4 linked regions of the Solanum lycopersicum genome follow. The protein of the gene in region 2 interacts with the protein of the main gene of each other region in a pairwise test. Links are inferred from orthologs where the notes say so. Each region holds a gene or a part of one and is shown on either strand. Other genes may lie near its edges.

The links.
Region 1: the proteins of B3 domain-containing transcription repressor VAL2 (region 2) and PLASTID TRANSCRIPTIONALLY ACTIVE protein 6, chloroplastic interact in binary tests that used the Arabidopsis thaliana proteins (3 or more experiments, as listed by UniProt). The link is inferred for Solanum lycopersicum from reciprocal best matches to the Arabidopsis thaliana genes HSL1 and PTAC6.
Region 3: the proteins of B3 domain-containing transcription repressor VAL2 (region 2) and protein PEP-RELATED DEVELOPMENT ARRESTED 1, chloroplastic interact in binary tests that used the Arabidopsis thaliana proteins (3 or more experiments, as listed by UniProt). The link is inferred for Solanum lycopersicum from reciprocal best matches to the Arabidopsis thaliana genes HSL1 and AT5G48470.
Region 4: the proteins of B3 domain-containing transcription repressor VAL2 (region 2) and CSN4 interact in binary tests that used the Arabidopsis thaliana proteins (3 or more experiments, as listed by UniProt). The link is inferred for Solanum lycopersicum from reciprocal best matches to the Arabidopsis thaliana genes HSL1 and COP8.

Annotation. Positions count from the first base shown.
Region 1 is NC_090803.1:56,303,530-56,308,761, forward strand, and holds the end of PLASTID TRANSCRIPTIONALLY ACTIVE protein 6, chloroplastic, read left to right. Parts: intron 1-2,886; coding exon 2,887-2,976; intron 2,977-3,064; coding exon 3,065-3,181; 3' UTR 3,182-3,596; downstream 3,597-5,232. UniProt on the Arabidopsis thaliana protein: Essential protein involved in plastid gene expression and in chloroplast biogenesis.
Region 2 is NC_090809.1:57,733,003-57,738,645, reverse strand, and holds the start of B3 domain-containing transcription repressor VAL2, read right to left. Parts: upstream 3,790-5,643; 5' UTR 2,916-3,789; coding exon of another isoform or gene 2,894-2,915; coding exon 2,803-2,893; intron 929-2,802; exon of another isoform or gene 904-928; coding exon of another isoform or gene 846-903; intron 179-845; coding exon 142-178; intron 1-141. UniProt on the Arabidopsis thaliana protein: Transcriptional repressor of gene expression involved in embryonic pathways, such as LEC1, ABI3, and FUS3. Repressor of the sugar-inducible genes involved in the seed maturation program in seedlings.
Region 3 is NC_090808.1:43,956,066-43,960,595, forward strand, and holds the end of protein PEP-RELATED DEVELOPMENT ARRESTED 1, chloroplastic, read left to right. Parts: intron 1-50; coding exon 51-119; intron 120-213; coding exon 214-384; intron 385-2,010; coding exon 2,011-2,154; intron 2,155-2,293; coding exon 2,294-2,434; intron 2,435-2,514; coding exon 2,515-2,580; intron 2,581-2,712; coding exon 2,713-2,772; intron 2,773-2,902; coding exon 2,903-2,947; 3' UTR 2,948-3,367; downstream 3,368-4,530. UniProt on the Arabidopsis thaliana protein: Plays an essential role in early steps of chloroplast development. May be involved in the redox control of plastid gene expression by maintening the redox state around chloroplast nucleoids.
Region 4 is NC_090803.1:66,278,677-66,284,315, forward strand, and holds the start of CSN4 (COP9 signalosome complex subunit 4), read left to right. Parts: upstream 1-2,208; 5' UTR 2,209-2,317; coding exon 2,318-2,447; intron 2,448-3,529; coding exon 3,530-3,681; intron 3,682-4,628; coding exon 4,629-4,732; intron 4,733-4,833; coding exon 4,834-4,894; intron 4,895-5,639. UniProt on the Arabidopsis thaliana protein: Component of the COP9 signalosome complex (CSN), a complex involved in various cellular and developmental processes such as photomorphogenesis and auxin and jasmonate responses.

The sequences.
Region 1 (5,232 bases), on a different chromosome or scaffold from region 2:
ATCATCTTTTATTTCGCGGACATAGCTTTTTTATTTTCATAGCTGAATTTGCTGCCTGTGTAATTGGAGTTCCAAAAATTGGATTGTTAATTCTTTGAAGAGATGTTTAACAATTTACACCGCTCAACAATCAATTCTGACTAAATTATACGGTGCAAAGGAATACAGAAATTTGGGGAAATGGTTGTTTTGTTCAAGGGAAAGGGTGCAGGGTTCAGGAGGAGTTTGCATGGAAGAGGGTAAGAGGCAAAGGGGGAAAACTAATGGATTTAAGTTTAAATTTATTTCTTTGTTCTATGGAAGAGAGGAAGTGGTAAGGTTGCAATTGCTGCCTTGCACTGATAAGTGGTAATTGTTTTGTTTGCAATAGAGCCGGAGTGAATTGTCATATAACAGACCCAAAAGAGCCAATTCCACTTTGCTGATGATGCCAAAGGATTTCATTTTTATACTGAAAAGGGAAGGAGTATACAACAACAACAACAATATATCCAGTGTAATCCTACAAGTGGGGTCTGGGGAAGGGTTTAGTGTACACAAACCTTATCCCCCTACCTTGTAGGTAGTCGGCTCAAGGAAATAATTTCAAAGCTAATCGAAAAAAGAAATAACATGAGTGAAGGTCATGGGAAAATACTATAAGAAGTATGTCAAAGCATTTTGAAAAAAGAAATGCAACTGCTACAAAATAATACGATATCAAAATGCAAGTAATAACGATAATAAGTGACATTGAGGGACAAGAAACTCCTTGAGTAATACTATGACTACTAGTATGAAAAGGTAAGGAGTGTGTGTGTTAATAACTGTTTTGACTATGATTTAGGGACTGAAATTAGAATTACTCTAAAAGCCTATGCTGATTTGCCTCTTCAAAAATGCCAATCGGTGCATATCAGATCCTCTAAAATAGTGCATTTTGGAGGATTCTACACAGGTCGTGAACAATTTTTGAAATCTGAGCGCAAACAAAGAGCAATATGAGAAGTCGATTCTAAATGAATGTTGTGCCAAAGATATGTGGCTTTGAGCCGGCTCAAGAGAAAATTTGGTTGAGTTGGTCTATTAGATGCCCAAGTATAGTCTTCAGAATGTGATAGAGCAAGCTCCTAGTTCTTGACTTCTCCTCCATCAAAAGAGCTTCTGATAGGTGTTATGAATTCATTGTAGCTGCTTTCGTTGTATCAAGAATCACAAGGACAGACTCTTATACAAATTAGAGAATGTTGATCCACTTTTTTGGTTCTTTAGATTGCCTCTAGATTTTAATAGAATAGTTAGGTGGAAATAACACCTTGTTTAACAACAGTTACCTTTATTTGTAATATTTCTAATTGGACTCAACCTTTCCTACTTTCGCTTGCTGGGTGGTTGGACATAAAACTGTTATCCTTTCTCTAACTGCTTATTCTGCCTTGTATTAAAGATTTTTCTTCGTCCCATAATTATGCTTTTCTTAAATGCTTCAATTGACAGAGTGTTGCACAATCAGTGATCACTGCTACACAATGAAACATAAAATTAGGTTAAAAAGACAAGAATCTGAACCCCTAACACAGCCATATTTCCTATCAATTCTTTATTTACAAAGACTCATTTTCTAGCTGTCTCTCTGTTTCTTTTCTTGGCATTTTATAGTAGGACTTCCCTTGCAAAGCCCTTGAAAAGTAAGTGACAAGGTATGCTCGGAACATCTTACATACTATTAGACATGAAAGTTGGATTGTTCAGTCGAACAAGGTAACGAGTCTAAGGGAAGTAACATGTGTACTTTAAATATAGTTTTCCTGAGAAAGGTAAGGTTGGATGGAAGAATTTTTAAGGGAAAGGTTTGGAATACTTCTGAAGCATACCTTATCAGCAGTCCCAAATATTACTCATCTTCTTTCAAATGTGTAACAACTACAGAAATACGGCTTTTCTCTTATTTATTTATTTATTGTTTTTTTCATTTTATCCCTTTTGCATTGTCTATGTAGGATTTAGTCTGTAGAAAAGGTATAAAGTTTGAATGATTAAATACATGAATTCACACATTTACCAGTTTCAAAAAATAAAATAAAATACATGATTTAATGATAAAAAGTTTAGGAGATATTGTATTTCTGATTGAAAAACATAAGAAAAAGTATCAGAAATGTTCGAAATATGTTCAACGCAGATACGTGTAACTTGCCCTTTCTTTAAGGTCTTGAACTCATTTGAAAATGATAACTTTGATATATATATTTCTACCACTCCCTAAAAGTCCAGTTTTATTGTTATAATAGGTTTGCATTTTGATGTACTTATCTTTATGAGTCTGATGTGCAATTTCTTGTTGGTAAATACTAGTATCCAATGAAAGAGCTTTTATTACAACTTTTAAATATATTGTCCCAGATGTAACTGCACAGTGACAATAGCTCTTCACAGACCCTCTTTTCGATAATAGTGCTTATTGTGGCTTATTACAGCTGTTGTAAGCATTATTATATTAAGTGTTTTAATTATAATTTTGTTGTTCTTTTGTTGGGAGGCACATCAGATACAACTATAGTTAGGCTGTCTGCAAAATATAATGAAAGAAACTGTAGTGGACAAGAAAATGATCATTCTTTCCCACCTCGCCTTTCTCCGAGAAAAAAAAAAGAAAGAATTTTGAAAAGAAAGAGAAAAAACTAAACACTTGTGTAAAAATTCATTGCATCATTATCCTTTTTATTGTTGTTATGGTGTGGAGAATGAAGAAATGCTTTGTTACAGTGAGATATTGGCTGCAAAAAGTTAGACATTTCCCATCAAAATCTGTTTCAACTGGTAGACATTGAGCATCTGGTTGTAGCCTTTGGTTTCTCAAATCATTTATCGTTAGTATTAAAAAGTTATTTTGTGTTCCAAAAACAGGTGACAGTTCCTGGAGGAAAAAGCAGGGATAGGAAGAATGATTTACTTGTCATCCGTGATAACGGGAACTCATTCAAAATTATACCATCAGTGAGTATTCTTACTCCAATTCTTTCTTATCTCTGTATTATTATCGCTGTCTATCCATCTCTGATGAGGGAGCATCATATTAATGTAGGAGGAAAGAGATGATTTTACCACTGTGATAGAGAAAGAAGAGTGGAAGAAGACAAGGCAAGACATGGAAAGACATCTTAGTAAGCTAAGGGATTTCAGTGTTTCAAATTGGTTTTAGTTGGCCAATGAATACCATTGTCGAATATTTCTGTGGTAGTTACCTCAGAATTGCTGGAAGAGGTGGACGGATTGAATACCCTAATAGCTGAAGGAAACAATCAGGTTAATCCGAAATTGTTCATGGTGCTGAACGCCGATAGAGCCAACTGCTTCCAAATTTCAGAATCTTAATCTTACATTATGACTTGTGAAAATGATCACTGGATGAAGGTTTACGGTGAGCTTAGGTAGAAGGTAATGTAGCAGTTAAAATTCATAGTATTTCTAGTACAAGAAAATGTGCAAAACTTGAACCAGTAACATTATCGTAAAGCAATCGAAACAATTTCTCTCCTAATTATGAAAGCTGGAGGAATTTGGAGTACAGTGCAGTGTAATTTGCTTCAAATTTTGTTCAACTGTTTTACAGTCAATTTTTTCTTCTCTTTTAACTATTACCAACATCTGTTTTGGTTCTTTAGTATCATAAGTCATCATTTCTGCTTTTTCGAAGTAAACCAGTTTTCGAGTATGTCATCATGATCATGATCAGTGTAGAATCATATATATATATATATATATAGAAAATCTTCGACCTGTCTGTGTGGCACCACCACAAACCAGAATTCCCTTTTAAATTTATTTATTTTCAAAAGTAGCCTTCTCATTTTATGAAAAATTGCGACTTCATGAAGAGTTGTGACTTTAATGAAGAGTTGTGACTTTTATGAAGAATTACGACTTTTATGAAGAATTGCGACTTTTATAAAGAGATGTGATTTTTATGAAAGGTTGTGAGCTTTCGGAAGGTTGCAACTTTTCCAAATAGTTTTAGCCTTTCAGATAAGGTATAATAAACATTTGTGCACGGTACCCTTTGTTGTTTATAAATAAAAGAATTTCCTCTCACTTTAAAACAACGAAAATTCTAAATCACTTCCTCCTCCTCTTCTTATTCTTCACAACTAATATTTATGTACTTTGTTCCTGTTGAGTGGCTCACTGATGATTGCTTATATAACAGATCTTAGTATAATTTATTAAGTCATTAATATGTTTATGTTAGTAAGGATAAATGATAGGATGTAATAAATTTCATTTTCTTTACATTATTAATGTTTGTTACCACGTAATAATCTTGTATATGAGATAATACAGTGTTTTAGTTTTAATAACTAATAGATTTAAAATATTATTTTATAAATTCTTTGATATTAAGTTTCCGCGCGAGGCGCGAGTAATTTTCCTAGTTTTATGATTAGATTACATTGAAATAGGTAAAGCATCAATTGGAGAAATTTATTACAATAATCCAGTAAAACATGTATTGCAATGCCAACTAGTACCAAATTGTTGATTCCAACAGAAAACTCTCAAAATAAGACATGTATATTCTGAATGTTTGTAATAAATAAAGATAAAATATGGTGTTGCTTAGACAAACTCATTTTGACATGCTTGAGACTTCCTTGGGGAAATAGTTTTTCTTTGTAGTAGCAAAATGTTTTTAGGAGAAGTAAGCAATTTGACAAACTGCAAAACTCGGGCATTTTCGAGAAGAGTTCTTGGTCAAAAACATCTTTAACCTATACCCTAAGTTTAAATTATATCTTAAGTAAATATATCTTTTTTTGACAAAAAACATCCTCCGAGTATTTGAAAGTTAATAATTTTCATCCTTTTGTTAGATATTGTCAACAAACATACATCATATAATCACAACCATCACCTACGTCGAAACAAGTTTGAAACCTAAGAAACTTGATCCTTCCCTTCCCGAATTTGTTCCGCTTGTTCTTGGTCTACAAACAATCAATGTGATACGGAAATCATTCAATTATCACTAATTACCCGGATTACTAACAATTCCAACAATCTTAGATCATACCCATGATCACAGGTATTCAAGTTAGGGTTTTTTCCACCATAGTTTCTATATCATCCCATCCCCCATCGATAATTACCCATTAATTTACAATTTATAGATCAAAAAACGGATTCAAGGAGTTAAAATCTTACCTTTAGCCTCAAAATGGTGAAAACTGTCTAGAATCGTCTAAGGTACGTTCC
Region 2 (5,643 bases):
TGAAGTTAGGTCACAACTCACAAGATGGTAAATACAAACTTCACATTACAAATTGTAGACCAAGCAGAAGATATCTGGGATGTTTTAGATTATTTGTAAGAAGTAGAGGTGATAGACGGCAATATGACTAGACTGTAATACCTTTTGAAGGGGACTACATATTTTGGATGTATTCTACCTGTGAATATATAGATTAGTGTTACCATCCTAAAAAAAGAAATTGCAGACCAATATATATATTTCATTTTACGAGATATTTTAGCGCTTCATAAAAATAATTGATGCGAAGTCCTACACCTAACTTGAGGCAATTAATACGTGTTTAAATTCATCCCACTTTTAGCAGACACCAATATTTCGTATAATGTTGAGAAATCTACCCTTTCACCATTTGACAGTACTCGGCTTGCCAGAATTTTGTATTAAAACTTAAGGTAAATTCTTTTATTCCTCCAAGTTTCCAAATTCAATTACTTTCAACATACTTATTTCTAAGTATTTAGTTAGTATGATTCTGGCGTCATCAGCATGAAGAACTACTTTTTAAAATCTATACTCTCCACCATTCAAGCAAAGAGAACTTAGTCAATAGACCTTTTAGGCGTAAGAGATAATCTACCATTGCATTTGAGATGAAATCAGTACACTCAGAGAAAGGCGTCCACAGATTGCTAAATGATGGTCATCTACTCTAAGTGAGTTGACATTTGGGAAGAAAAACTGATCTCATATTAACAAGAACAGAATGTATAAAATAAGTCATGAAACTATAGTAACCCTTTGCCTGCATGAATTGGGCAAGAAAAGAGTGAACACTATAGAAGGCCGACAAGGGGGAGGCGTACCAGTCGAAGAGTTAGACTGAAAACCGTAGGAATCAAAGCTTGCTCCCAGTAGGTGCATTAGGTCAATTCATCCCATCTGCAGTCTGCCTAAGTCATGATGGTCAGAATTACCGAGAATTATGTGATATCTGTGCTGATGGATTAGTTAACATATGCTAGCGCAAGTTGGTCCTCGAACCATCTTAACTTTTTAAGAAAAAAGGGCTCAGAAGTTTCCGTTCAACCCACTAATGGCAGTGGTTTGTGATTTTGCCACTCAATACTGAAGAGAATCTTGCTCATTAATGAATGGGCAGGCTCCTGAGTCAGTGATACAACTCTACAACTACGTGGTCTTCAATTCTAATTGGTTACCACCATATTCCAATATATCGCCATTGAATCTTTTTAATTATTTTTTTAATAATAGTGGTGTCCGATTCAACTTGTGCTTACATCGACTATACCAGGAATTGCTTTGGCATCAATAAGTTTTATGCAAATGTGTCTACACTAGAAGCGTTCCAGATATAATTTCTCAAACTGGATGCCCTAAGACTCTGCATTAGTTTCAGTTTTCAGTTTATGGTGAAACTGTCATTAGCTACATTTTATTCCAAAGTTAAAGTGAATGTTTTTCCTTTCGGCAATGCAGGCGGTAGATTGCAAAAGATCTAAGTTTATCATGAATTTAACTACCAGTCATCTATCCTGACCAAGAAACAAAAGATAAACAGAAAAATAACAGAAGTAAAACAAACAAACAAAACAAAACAAAAGGGAAAAAAATAACAAATATTAATAATAAAATAGTTTCATTCCATCAGCACTGTATTATTTACTGTAAGTGAAATCACTGCATGCAATCTCTATTTCATATAAAGGCCAAAAAGAGCAAAAAAAGACAAAGTTGCTCCACAGTAACTTAACATGGAACCAAATAGACAATTCTGGAAAGAAAAAAAAAGTTATGCCATCACTTCAACACAGGGGCGGAGCCACCTTATCACTAGGGATTCATCCGAACCCCCTTCGGCGGAAAATTATATTATTGTTACATGGTTAAAATAAATTTTTAGGTATATACGATAGATGTCGAACCCCCTTCGGCTACTTCATGTGTTTATTTCTTCAGATTCTGAACCCCCTTATTAAAAATTCTGGCTCGCTTCAACGGCCTCACTTAGATCATAAGCCCATGCTCCTGATCTCAGCCAAGAAAAACCTCCCTATGACACAGCAAGAATCACAGATAATACAAATCCTTAGGAGAACGTAAGCAGGTTAATCTGCACTGACTTCCTAAAAGACAACAAGTGAAACAGAAAGAAGAAGGATTATCTTTCCCACATTTTGATCTTGCAGGATCTTTAATCTTTCCAGAACTAGAGTCAGTTTGAGCAACCATTACTAGGGTGCATGAACTGGACTAGGAACATATTATCCCAATAGAATTAATTCTCTCAAATTGAATATGCAATCTCTAATTTGAAAAGGTAAAGTAATTGTTTAGTCGAATTAAAGAACAGTCGGATAAAAGAACATGATTTAGCAAATATCTTTCAGCAAAACAAAAAGGATAATTCTCCGAGCTGCTACAGTATTCACCAACACAGTAACCTTAACATAAACACAGAAACTGTTCAGATTGTAAATACTTCTTCCGTTTCAAAAAAGAACAATCAGCTCAATAAACAAATTTCAAACCATCTCAATTAGTAGGACATTGATTCCTTAATCTTTTCTCGAATAAAATAAGCAAATTCAAAACCTATACAAAGAGTATATAAGTCAGAACATTTTTACAATGAAAAATCACTGTTTGACATTCTAAATGGTAATGTTATCATATAAAATGATCAAACAGAGTTGAGCACTAGGCAAACCAGTTTCTACAAAACAAAAAGAACAACAAAACTGAATTTACAAACATATATAAATTAAGTATAAAGAGAGAGTGAGATCTGAATTGAATTACCCGCACTTATCACAGAGGGTCGCAAATTCACCAGATCGCAAAGGCCACCCTTTTTTCCACTCAATTGAAGAAGTTGTCCCACACAGTCCATTCATGCAAATCTTCGACTCCATTCCTAAAATCCTTACCTCTAATCAAGCCCTAATACAGCATAATCTTCCTCTTAATACTCCATACGCAAAACCCAAAAAAAAAAAAGTTTTTTTTTAAAGCTAAAAATGAAGTCTTTAGAAAAACCCAAGTATGAAATAGTTGAATAATAAGTGTGAAGCAAGAATCTTGAAAACAAAAGTTAAAGACATAAAACTAAAGCTAGTAAGCTGCAGTGTTTGTGGGTCTGTTTTAAAATTTGTGATAGAGAAATATTAGGGAAGTTTGTTGAATTTCCGGTACCGGAACGGTGGAATTGGGAGAGAGAGAGAAGCGTAAAGTGTAAAACAGTTCAAAAATGGAAAAGGGGACATGCAGGGAGGGAGAGACTTGAAGGGTCAGCAAAGGTCGCCCGCCTTTCTCTTTCAGTTCTTCTTCCACTAACGTCTCTCTCTGCTCAATTTCTTTTTCACTTTATCATATCAGCTTTTCTTTTGAACATTGAAAAGAAAGCTTATGTTTATATAATTTGATCAAAAACATACAAGTTTTGTGACTAAATGCAAAGTAATAGTTAAGACCAACTATGTTGTAACCTCTCTCGTTGTTCTAGAAGAGATAGGATTAAAATAGGTACATTTGGAAGTGGCTTTGGTGCGGAAGTTAAAGATCGAGATAATTTTGAACATTTGAAAGTGATATGTTTTGATGTTCTAGTGTGGATGTGTGAGTGATTGGCTATAGATAATTTATATAAACAGAGATAAAACGAGAAAATAGTAGAAATGAATGTGTATGAATGGACGTGTGTTGATGAGGGCTGGAAATAGATGCTTAGGATCTTACGTAGAAAGATTAGGGAGGACACAAATTAGGATAGAAAATTAGAAGGTCATCGTGTGTTGTTTTATCATCTGTTCATATTAGTAGTTAGTGTTGCACTCGTAATTTCTAGTTCTTTGATTTTTATTACTTATTATCTTATATTTTTGGTCATCACATGATTCAATTATAATCATTGTCTTGTTACCATTAGTTATCTTGTTTGTATAATATTTCATGTACTTTAATCCATAATAATATCTCTATTTTTAGGTAAAAGATGATACATGCATACATTATATCTTTTCTAGAATCTCCGTTGTTGTTGTTATTAGTGTAGAGAAGTTTTGTGTGTGAAAGAAAATAACTTGAAAAAATAGTAATAATCAACTTTTCACAATTTAAAATCGATTAGAAAATAACTCCCCTTAAAAAGTAAGTACGAAATTTGAAAGCTTTACAAAGGGGTCTTAAACGGGTTTTTTAATGAAAGCTCTACAAAAGGGTCTTAAACGAGTTTTTTAATAAAAAAAGTGTTTTGTACATTTTTCTCTAAATTTGATTTATTTTTCTTTTTAGTTACCTCAAACAAGAATGACATGTTTATATAGCAAGTAACAATTTAACATTAAAATATTTATTTTACTTTTTATAAAATAACTTATAACAACACAAATATCTACTCTCTTCGTTAAAAAAAGGATATTAACGAAAAGGATGACCTAGTTTGACTTATAATGAAATTTAAGAAAAGAAAGAAGACTTGTTAATCTTGTGGTTCTAAATTAAAGTTATGTCAAATATATCAAAATGTTCTTTAATCTTGTGGTCTTAAATATGTCACATGGAAAGTTAAAGTTAAATTATTGTAAAAAAAAAAACGAAACATTCTTTTTTAAACAGATTAAGAAGAAAATAAAATCTTTTTTTTTTAAACACAAGAAATATCACTTATCTCAAATAAATTTCAAAAGTTTTCTTTTCATTTAAAAATTTTCTACCGATTCGAACTAACTCATATAAAATAAAATAAAAAACGGTGCAATAAAACAAATGGCTCATTTAGGAAGTGGGAGTCCTAATCAAAAGGACAAAAATCCACTTTGCTTTTCAAGTATGGTTCTTTTGGCTTAGTGTGTACGATAAGATTAGAACTAAGATTAATCATCATTGCGTAATTAAACAGATAAGTAAACAAATCAAAATTAGTTTATTCAATCCCCTAATTGATTACTTCTTCTACGCGTGCTATATCCTAATACTACAATGACATCATGCTTATCAAATCTTTAACCAAAAACCATTAACTAAAAAATTAGGTGATGAGGGGTGAGTGACTGACATTACTTTTTTTTTTCCCTATATGTAACAAACATAGAGAGATTTTCAAAAAGTTAAGTCAATCAGGTTCCTTAAAGTTCTCTGCATAATTCGCTTAGACATTTCAACTAATATTAGTACCAATTGAACATTTTTACCTATATAATAATCATTTCTATTAGACATTTTTTTTATAATCAACAAAAAATGTGAAGAGTGTGTGATACACTTGCGGTGACGTGGCAACATGACTAATTAAAAAATAACATTTGGCATTGGACCAAAAATTATAAAAAAAACACACGTTTAATATTTAATTTTTTAAAAAAGAAAAAGAATAATGAAAATGTCTACCTATTCTATCACACCTTACCCCCACCCCACTCCAACCCCCTTTCATCTTCATCTTCTTCTCCAAAACACATTCTTTCTCAAATTACAAAATCTTATTCTTTTCAAATAACTTCAAGATTTTTTTTTTTCATACTAAGAGTGAAGAAGAAAGAAAATTTTGTTGGCGGTTATTCAATTCTACATCTATGACAAAATGAAATTGATAACCCCAAAATTATTTCTTCCAAATTTTTTATATCATTTTTGATAAATTTA
Region 3 (4,530 bases), on a different chromosome or scaffold from region 2:
ACAAGAGGTTTTCTGGGTGGGTATGTGATTAACAAAGTTGTTTCTTTTAGCGCAAATCACTCTTGGAAGTTATCAAGGAGACTGTATTATCCCATCTTACCAAGAAGTGCCCCCCTCATGTGAGTATGCTAGTATGCTGAATGACTACATTATTAGCAGCATTGATGCTCTAGTCTTTGATCTGACATTGAATTGGATTTGTATGTTTTCTAGGTTCAAGTCATAGGCCTGCTCTGTAGAACTCCTCAAAAAGAAAGCAGACATGAATTGCTCAGGCGAGTTGCTGCTGGTGGTGGAGTATTTCAAAGTGAGAATGGGACAAAAGTCCATCTTCCTGGGGCAAATTTGAATGATATAGCTAACCAAGCGGATGATATTCTGGAGGTAGGCTCTTAATGTATATGCATAGTCAGGAGACTAACCAGTTTTTGGTATTTAAGTCTAAAATAATTTGTTTTGCATCAATTTCATTTGGCTGCGGGTCCCTTAGGGTGCAGGTTATTAGAAACCACAAACTTTACATGGTATGGAACATCTGGTTTGTAGAGACCATAAGGCACCACACTGTGCATTATGTAACACATTTTGGAAAATGGTTAGATCAATATTTTCATCTATTGATGTTAAAACTTCTGTTCAGCCATCTTGGTCAGACAATTTGTAGTGTTGATGCTGGTTATATGTAAGCTGTAAGAAACTTGTGCTCAATGCTGAATTCATTATTTATTTTTGTTCTCAAGTTACTGAAATATTAATTTTTTATAAAAATGAAGAAAAAAAGGCAAGTCATGGTAATGTCAAGTTTTAACAGATGCCATCTTACTTGGTTATCAGGGCCAAAAATGATACTCCCTCGTTTTCAATTTGTTTCTGTGGTTTTGACCTGACAGAGTTAAAGAAAGTAAGAAGACTTTTTCGGATCTTGTGGCCTTGAACTAAAATATGTAGAATGTACCAAAATGCTATTTAATCTTATGGTCTTAAATATGTCATGTGGAAATTTAGGAAAAGAGTTACCAAAATAGAAAAGAGACATTCTGTTTTAAACACACTAAAAAGTAAGTAAGTCAAACAAATTGAAACGGAGGGAGTACATGGGTTTCAGTTGGAAACCTAACCTGCCAAAAAGGCTTAGGGGAATCATCTTGTTTGGACTTCAATTTTTTTCGTGTCACTGTAGAGTTATCAGTTTTCAGTCATCAATAATTAAACAAATTCCTCATGTAAGTGTCAAATGGTGTTGGCGCTTTCGGCTAACTTTTCTGTATTACTCTCTTTTGACATCTGTTTGAACTTATTTGTGTTCCCCAATTCAATATATGTGATATACTTCATTCTTCGTTATCAGTTTTGACCTTTTCCATGATTTAGATATAATATCCATTTTATCCTTATTTTTGTTTTTTTATTAACTGCGGTGACCGAGCCACCTTGCATGCACCTCGACTTGTTACACAACATACTTGTCACCTCCTACTAGCAATAAACAGGTACCACATAACTTTGTCCACGGGGCTATGACAGATGAAAAAACCTCACCTAGTATTTTTGTCTCAGCTAGGATTTGAACTTGAAAACTCAGAGTCCACAACCCAGTTGATTGACCACTAGGTCACACCCTTGGGCTCCCATTTTATCCTCTTCTAGAAATAAATTTACATATTTGAAAATCACTCTGGAAGTAATATGCAATAATGGATATGGCATAGTAAAAGATTTAGTCCGGATGCTCCTTTTACTATTAGGTTTCGTTAGTTGCTTTCATGCTCTAGAATCATTTCATATTCCATTGTGAAAAAAAAGTAAAAACTGTTTCATCATGCTTAAGTAAGAGATAAAATAAGATCATGTAAATTCTCAAAAAAAAATATCATGTAATGTGATTTCTGAACCCTTAAAATCATTTATCAGATCAACGGACTTCGAAAATATTATTACTATTTGAAGGAATCCTTCACGCTAGTGTTCACTGATAAAATTATGGATTGTCTGTGACTGTCTTTGTTGCAGACGATGGAATCTCGTTCTGTTATCCCTGACAGGAAGTTACTAGCAAGGTTAGTTTTAATCAGAGAAGAAGCTAGGAACATGATGGGAGGTGGAATACTTGACGAAAGAAATGATCGTGGCCTTAATATTCTTCCTGAATCAGAGGTTTGTTACTTAAACATATATATCCCATGTCACATTTTAATTCGGTGGGCCTGTAAATCTGTGAAAAATAAACCATCTGAATGGTTATTGTACAGCTTCTGCTTTGACTACTAAATGTTAGCATTTTATGGTCATGCAGGTGAACTTTTTAACTGAACTTGTTTCCCTAAGACCAGGGAAAGCAGTACGCGACATGATAAAAAACGTGATGCTTGGTAAAGAAGAAGGTGCAGACAGTTCGAATGATGAAGTTGGTGCTGCTGGTGGAATTGCAGGAAGGGTGAGATTTTGTCCTGAGATGATGTCACTACCTTTTGAGAATTCCAAAGCTTCTCAACTATAATTTTCTTTTGTTTCCAGGCAAGTGTAAGTGGGCGAAAACCATCACCTGTGCGTCCTGGCATGTTTCTTGAAACAGTTTCTAAGGTAAGAGTTTCTCGTACATGAGATTTTTGTTATTGGACATAGTTGGCATATCTGATTCAATCTTCAGAAACATTGTAAGAAGGAGGATGGGACGATTATAATATCTTACCGCATCTTATTGCGACATTGTAGGTGTTAGGTGGCATATATGGAGGAAATGTCTCTGGAGTTACAGCACAGCATCTTGAATGGGTATACTCTTGTTAATCTTTGTTAGGGTAGCGTTTCATTTAGAAAGTTGCTTTTGTTATCAATGGCTGATTGTTTTTAACATCATTTCTGGACAAGTAGCTAATCCATATAACTTTAAATTGTGTTTCAGGTTCATCAGAACACACTTCAAATTCTTCAAGAGATTGCATTTTAGTTGTTCCTTGCACTACTTCCCAGGAACTCCCCGAGACGAATGTTAATATATCCTGCCCACTTATCTTGGAAGCTTCATAAAATTTGGTATTTGAATATTTCATAATCCATGTGTGATCTGGGGAGGAGGGTGAGGCTGCACTTTTCATCGTATACAGCAGTCTTCTTTAGATCACCAAGAATCTATGTTACTTGTGTATAGTTATCAGACGAACAGGAGTAGTTTAGAAGGTAAAATGTAGAATTTGAAGTAAAATTCTGAGGACATGTACTGTTTTTGGAAACACGAAAACATAAGTACAGGTGTTAAAAGATTTGATGCAAGTAGTTCTATATTCACTTTTATTTGTAATTTTCAATGTTGAAGTTATGTTTTGTAATATTAATATAAGACTCATTTGATCATGAGAATTTTTTAAAACATTTTTCTGGCCAAACGAGTGTACTATTAAATGGAAACATTTGGCAAATCCATCTTTGAATGATTAAGCAAACATGGGTAGAATCATACTTTTAAGGCATGTCCAATCACTAACAATGATGCTTAATGGGGATTCAAGATCAATCAAATCACAACATTAAAGGCAGATAGAAAAAAGTGTGCCCATGTGTGGTTAGGTCCTACTTGTTTCCCAGACGCCAGGAATGTTCCAATTTCCAAAAATGATGTTTAAAAATTGGAATATATCTCGTTGTTTATATTGTTCTGAGTTTTGCCAAAGGATAGGGCTTAGTGGGGCACTACTACCTTGGGAACTAATATTCGAATTCGATCACATTTTCCCATCTGCCTAAACTTTATTGTTTGGTGAGACATATTCTTTCGTCCCGTGTTGGATGAACACTTTATACTTTACACTATTATTAAAAAATTGTTAATAAGTTGATTAACTTTACTATTTTGTCATTTGATCATGCTAATTATCCTCTTGAAATTAAATTGGATCTTAAGAATTTGTTTAAACTTCCAAAGCCTTGTTAACTGTAGGGGTAATATTGAGAAAATAATTAATTTTATCTAAATTTAATAAATGATCAGATACTACAAAATAAATACTTTTAGTAAAATATTCATCTAATATGGGATCAAAGATAGTAGACAGTAGTTTGATGCATTAACCAACAAGCTTAGTTTGTATACCAACATTATTAAGAAAAGTGTGTGTTATTTGCATTTATTTGCTCAACAGTAACCACTTTAGATCAAATCTACAGTGGACTCGTGTATATTGCATAAAATTTAAAGAATATGAAATACTTCCTATGTTCACTTTCATTTCTCCGCTATTTTTAAAAATAAACTTTTACTTTTTACTTTTGAAAAAAAAAAAGATGACAAAATTCATGTTTTTCCCATAGCATTAATTGCTTACTTCATAATATACTAAACATCATTTAATAGGGATAGTATGATATGTTGGGATTTAGCAAGTGTGAATGGAAAAAGAAAAGAGAGAATATGAAAAAGTGAGGGAACTACTTTGGAAGGAAAAAAATGAAAAGTCATTTGCAAAGTGCAAATAAAGTCATTTCTCTCATATCCGCAAAACAAAGAGAAATTGTTGTCCTTATAGAAGGAAACAC
Region 4 (5,639 bases), on a different chromosome or scaffold from region 2:
GTAAGCATAGATCATGGGAATACTTGCATTACATATTGGTCTTTTAACTGTGGTGGTAATGTGTGAAAAAATTCTTGCAGCCGTGCAAAAACTGTGAACGAGAACTTGAAGAATGAATGGTGCTTTGCTTTCGCGATTTGATTTGGTGTTCATATTACTTGATAAATTTGATGAATTGCTGGACAAGCGACTCTCTGAGCTTATTATGTCAGTAAGTGTCCTAAATGGTAATAAGCAAAAAATATCGCTAAAATCAGTAATTATTTTTTATAATGTATTAATCCAAGAACAGTAAGTTAATGCTGTGAAATTGTGTTTGACTTGTTAGATTGTAATTTGATTTTGAATAACTTTTAGGTAATTGTATAACATAACAAATTAATAATATAAAATAAACGGAAAAGGACCTAAAATACCCTTAAAGTATTGAAAATGGTACAAAATTACCCTCCATCCACCTATTGGCTCCAAAATACCCTTCCCACCCACCTATTGGGTCCAAAATACCCTTGTCATCCACCTTTTGGTTCAAAATTGACCACTTATTTAACGGTTTTATATTAAACTATTTAAATATTTTTTAAAATACGTGAAACTCAATTTTTTGTTATAATTTAACTTATTAGTATAATTTATAAATCAATCCACTACCCATCCCATTACTAATCAAATCCCTCTAAATTAATGAATCCGTCACATTATTAATGCAAGCTACTGCCAATTGAGTGTTTTTAAAAATTATAGAGGTAAATTATCATACATTCAAGTGGCTAAATAAAAATCACCGATAAACTTAAAAGTCTGACTATGTTCATTTTAATTATTCTTATGTCTCAATTATGTGATGTTACTTCATAGGTAACTTTCTTTCAAAATAATATATTAAAGGTTTTAAAACAAATCATAAATATTTATAAAATTATATTTTAAAAAAGAGCATGAATTAGTTCGGGATGTATTACTTCTTTACCTTTAATCATGAATTTCTAATTCAATTTTGAAAGAAAGTGTCCTTCTAAATAAGCGGCTCAACCTAAATTTAATTGGGACTTCGATTCGGACTCGAATAATTTTGAATGTCATTTTCAGGAATCTATAATTTCATCGTGTTTTACTAGTGTTTATGATGATTTTGATATTATAATTGGATTATTAATTGGGTGAGGTTTAATTAGTAATGAGTGAGTAGTGGGTTGGTTAATAAATTATATTAAAAAATTATAATTATAATCAATAGTTGAACGCCAAGTATTTTTAAAAATATTTAAAGAGTTAAATTTTAAAACAATTAAAAAAAGTGGTCAATTTTGAACCCAAAGATGATGACAAGGGTATTTTGGAGCCAATAGCTGGATGAAAAGGGCATTTTGGAGCCAATAGGTGGATGAAGGGTAATTTTGTACCATTTTGAATACTTTAAGGGTATTTTAGGCCCTTGTCCGTAAAATAAATATAATAGCTATTGTTTGATTTATTTGTGTTTCATAGCAAACTGTTTGTCAGTCTCATTCTCCCTCATATTTTCGCTCGTCACTCTCTCTCTCTCTCTCCCTATCGCTTGCCTCTCTCGCTTTATACAATAGAATTGTATAAGTTGTGTTTCTAATCATATAAATCGAGAGAAAATTGTATATACACATGTAAATACATATATTTTTGTCATATACACTTATAATTATACAATAAAAGTACTCTTCCGCCCAAGTCTCTTTTGTCTCTCTCCTTCTCGTTTTATACAATTTGATTCAATTGTATATTCCCTGCCCAAGTCTCTTTTGTCATTCTCTCTTTCTCATTTTATACAAATTCAAATTGTATATAATCGTCTTATACACTTATAATTATATAATTCATTTTATACATTTCATTTTATACAATTTTATGCCCAAGTCTCTTTTTCTTTCTCATTTTATACACTTCGTTTTATACAATTCGCTTCAATTGTATATGTATAGCAAATTATACATATATATGTTTGCTATTAAATATATTTGTTACAAAGCGCAATTATATGAACTTTGTTATAACATACAAATATAAATTTTATATATGCTACATGTGAAAATTATCCTACATAAATTTGAACCGAAATAATAATTTTATCACTTTTTCTTTTTAAAAAAATAAAATTAGTTCGAAGTTGTGTCCGAGCCCATATACCACAGCGGGCAACAGATTATAAATCGACTTTCAAATCCCTATTTATATGCCAAAATTTTGGTTCATAAGCTCCATTAACGCTTCGAAAAAGAACTCGACGAGACACTCCAAATTGCGTATTCGAGAAGATTAGCTCAGAGATAAACCCTAAATCGCAATGGAGAGTGCGTTCGCTAGTGCCTCTGCGATCAGCGACCAACGCCAGAAAATCGAACAGTACAAGCACATTCTGTCCACCGTTCTTGCATCAAGCGATATCCAACAAGCCAAGCAATTCATCGATCACAGTAAGTTTTTCTCGTTGTTTCATCATAATTTCGCTGTTAATTTTTTGTTCATGTTCTATAATTCTCAGCTGAAATAGATGTTCGAAGATTCATATAGTCAGATTGTAACCGGTTTGAGATTGAGAGGTTGTTTGATTGAGATTGTGTACAATTATGTCGCGCCAGTTATAATCTCATCACAGTTTTGCTGTTAATTTATGTTCATGTTTTATATTTCTCAGTTGAAACAGATGTTAGAATATTTATATAGTCATATTCTATCTGGTTTGGGATTGAGCCATTGGTTGGTTGAGAATGTGTTTGGTTATGCAGTGCAGTTACTGCCTCATTATAATTTTGCTGTTAATTTATCTTCATGTTGTATATTTCTCAGCTGGAATAGATATAGAAGATATATATAGTTAGATTCTAACTGGTTTGAGATTGAGCCGTTATTTTGATTTAAGTTTATTTACGACTATGCAGTTCAGTTACTATCTCATCATAATTTTGCTATTTATTTTGCATTCATGTTTTATGTCTCTCAGCTGAAATAGATATAGAAGATTTATATATTCTCATATTCTTACTAGTTTGGGATTGAGCCGCTGTTTGATTGAGATTGTGTGTGATTTATGCATTGCAGCAACTATTTCATCTCAATTTTCTGTTAATTTTATGTTTATGTTGTAGATTTCTCGGTTGAAATAGATATAGATGATTTATATAGTCAGATACTAACTGGTTTGAGATTGAGCCGCTGTTTGATTAAGACTGTACGATTATGCAGTGTAGTTACTATCTAATCATAATTTTGCAACTTGTTTTATTTTTCATGTTGTATACGTCTAGCTGAAATAATATGTATAGACAATTTATGCAGTCAGATTCCAGTTGGTTTGCGATTGAGCCACTGTTTGATTGAGATTGTGTATGACTATGCAGTGCAATCACCATCCAGCTGTCTAATCTTAATTTTTCCTGTAATTTTTATATTCACGTTGTATATTCTCAGCTGAAATCTAAATAGAATATTTATAGTCAGATTCTAACTAATTTGGGGTTGAGCCGCTGTTGTTTGATTGAGTGTGTACATTATGCAGTGCTATCGGATGACGTGCCCTTGGTGGTATCTAGACAGCTATTGCAGACATTTGCCCAGGAATTCGATAGATTGGAACCTGATGTTCAAAAGGAAGTAGCACACTATACTCTCAACCAGATACAGCCTCGTGTGGTGTCCTTTGAAGAACAAGTATGCTTTGATATTTCTATTTTGTTAATTGTCAGATTCTTGACAACTCCTTTGCAGCCCATAGTGAACGATACTTGGACTTACATTAATGCCTTATATATCTCTAAAATTTGGTGCTTCAGAATGTCACTAGCATCAGTTTGTCTTTATTTTGCTTTGTCTGTTGCATCAGGTGGTGCATATGTATTTGTAAGGGTGTAGCATTTGGATGTTTGTAATTTCATTTCTTAAAACTTCATAAGAGAACAGCAAGAATGCTCTATCAAGAAAAAATACAGAGAGGAACATGGTATGAAGAAAGAGAATTATTGAATCAGCATGACAATATCTCTGCCACCTAAAGAGAAGGCCTGTTTTAACGATTGAAATCACGTTCTTTTACTAATTATGGGATGGGAAGTACTTATCAGAAAAAAGGATGGCAAATTTCCAAATAATTGTCTTTCAGAAAGTAATCTCTTTCTAATTGACCATTAAAGTTAGCATCTCTATTTTTATTAAAACCAGTTAAAATAATAGGCTAGAAAAGAATTTGAGTGTAGTACCAGGAACTCAATACACGGGCCACAACCCACATTGGGACCATGGGGTTGTTTATTATGAAGTGTGTTTTTTGAGTTGGTGTTGGATGGAACTATTGCATTGACACCTTTGATTCCTTTTCGATGGAAGTGATTTTAAGAACTGAATTTTGTGAGAGTGGGCTAGCGCCAAAGTCACAGAATTATTTGTTTATCTTGGGATTAAAAAGTTTTTCCGGAAATCATAGTTATCTTAAAATTTGATGTGTGTCTTGAGTATTTTAGTTTTGAGAAAATGGTACAAATGAAGGTCAAAATTGGAACTCAGCATATTGTCTGTTGTCATCAAGAGATCTCCACATACAGGTTCTTTTGATCTTTTATGTTTTTACTGCCCATTTCTAAAACAAAATCCCATATTTTCAGGTGTTGATCATTCGGGAAAAACTTGCAGAATTATATGAGTCTGAGCAACAATGGTCAAAAGCAGCTCAGATGCTTAGTGGCATCGATTTAGACTCTGCAATGAGGTCTGTGTTACACTTCTACTTATCTTTGCTTGCCTGCTGCTGTGTCCCTTAACTTATCTTTGGAAGCTGAAATTTCTATCTTCGCACTGCTTCTTCTGCAGATTCGTTGATGATACATTCAGAATTTCAAAATGTGTCCAAATTGCTCGTCTCTATCTGGAGGTTGGATTTTTCTTTTTCTTTTCTTTCTATACTTCTAATGCCAAGTAAACATATCCAAGTTAACGATCCTTGTTTGGTTTGGTAGTGCACCTTTCAACTTGCCTGACAATTGATCTGCTCTAAAGAGGAAGAGGCGAAATCAATTCATCAATATATGTGCTGGAGCGACCTATCAATTTTTTTAGTTTGGTTAACTAATTGTTGATATTTATAAGAAAACAATTAATAACTTGCTAGTTTGAGCTATAGGGCGTTGTTGTAGTGCAAGCGTATTGATTACGGGAATATTATACAAAAGGCTTTCTTAAAAATTCTCATAGAATCTAGAATGAAGTTTTGATTCTATACATGCCATATCATGAATTAGTAGCTGCTTCCAATTAAAAGAAATTCTAATTGTGTTGAACTTTCCATTTTTGTAGTAGTTATGGAATCTTCATGAGTAAACTATAGTCCACACAACCATATCTCCCAATTGAAAAAGATAATTACTACATGAGACAACACATTAGATAAAGGAAAAATCTTTCGTTCTTTCTTTTTTATTTCTATATTATATAGGTATGTACAACTTTATCATCAATTTTCTTTACCGATCAAAAGTAGTTTCTAGTATGTTTGCCCAAACTGCTTCAAACACCTAAGGAACCACCAAAAGTTTTTTCTACAAAAAAGAGTTTTTTCTTAGCTGCACCTAAGGGTGTAGCCTAGTGGTCAATAAAGAGGGTTGAGAACTGTGAGGCCT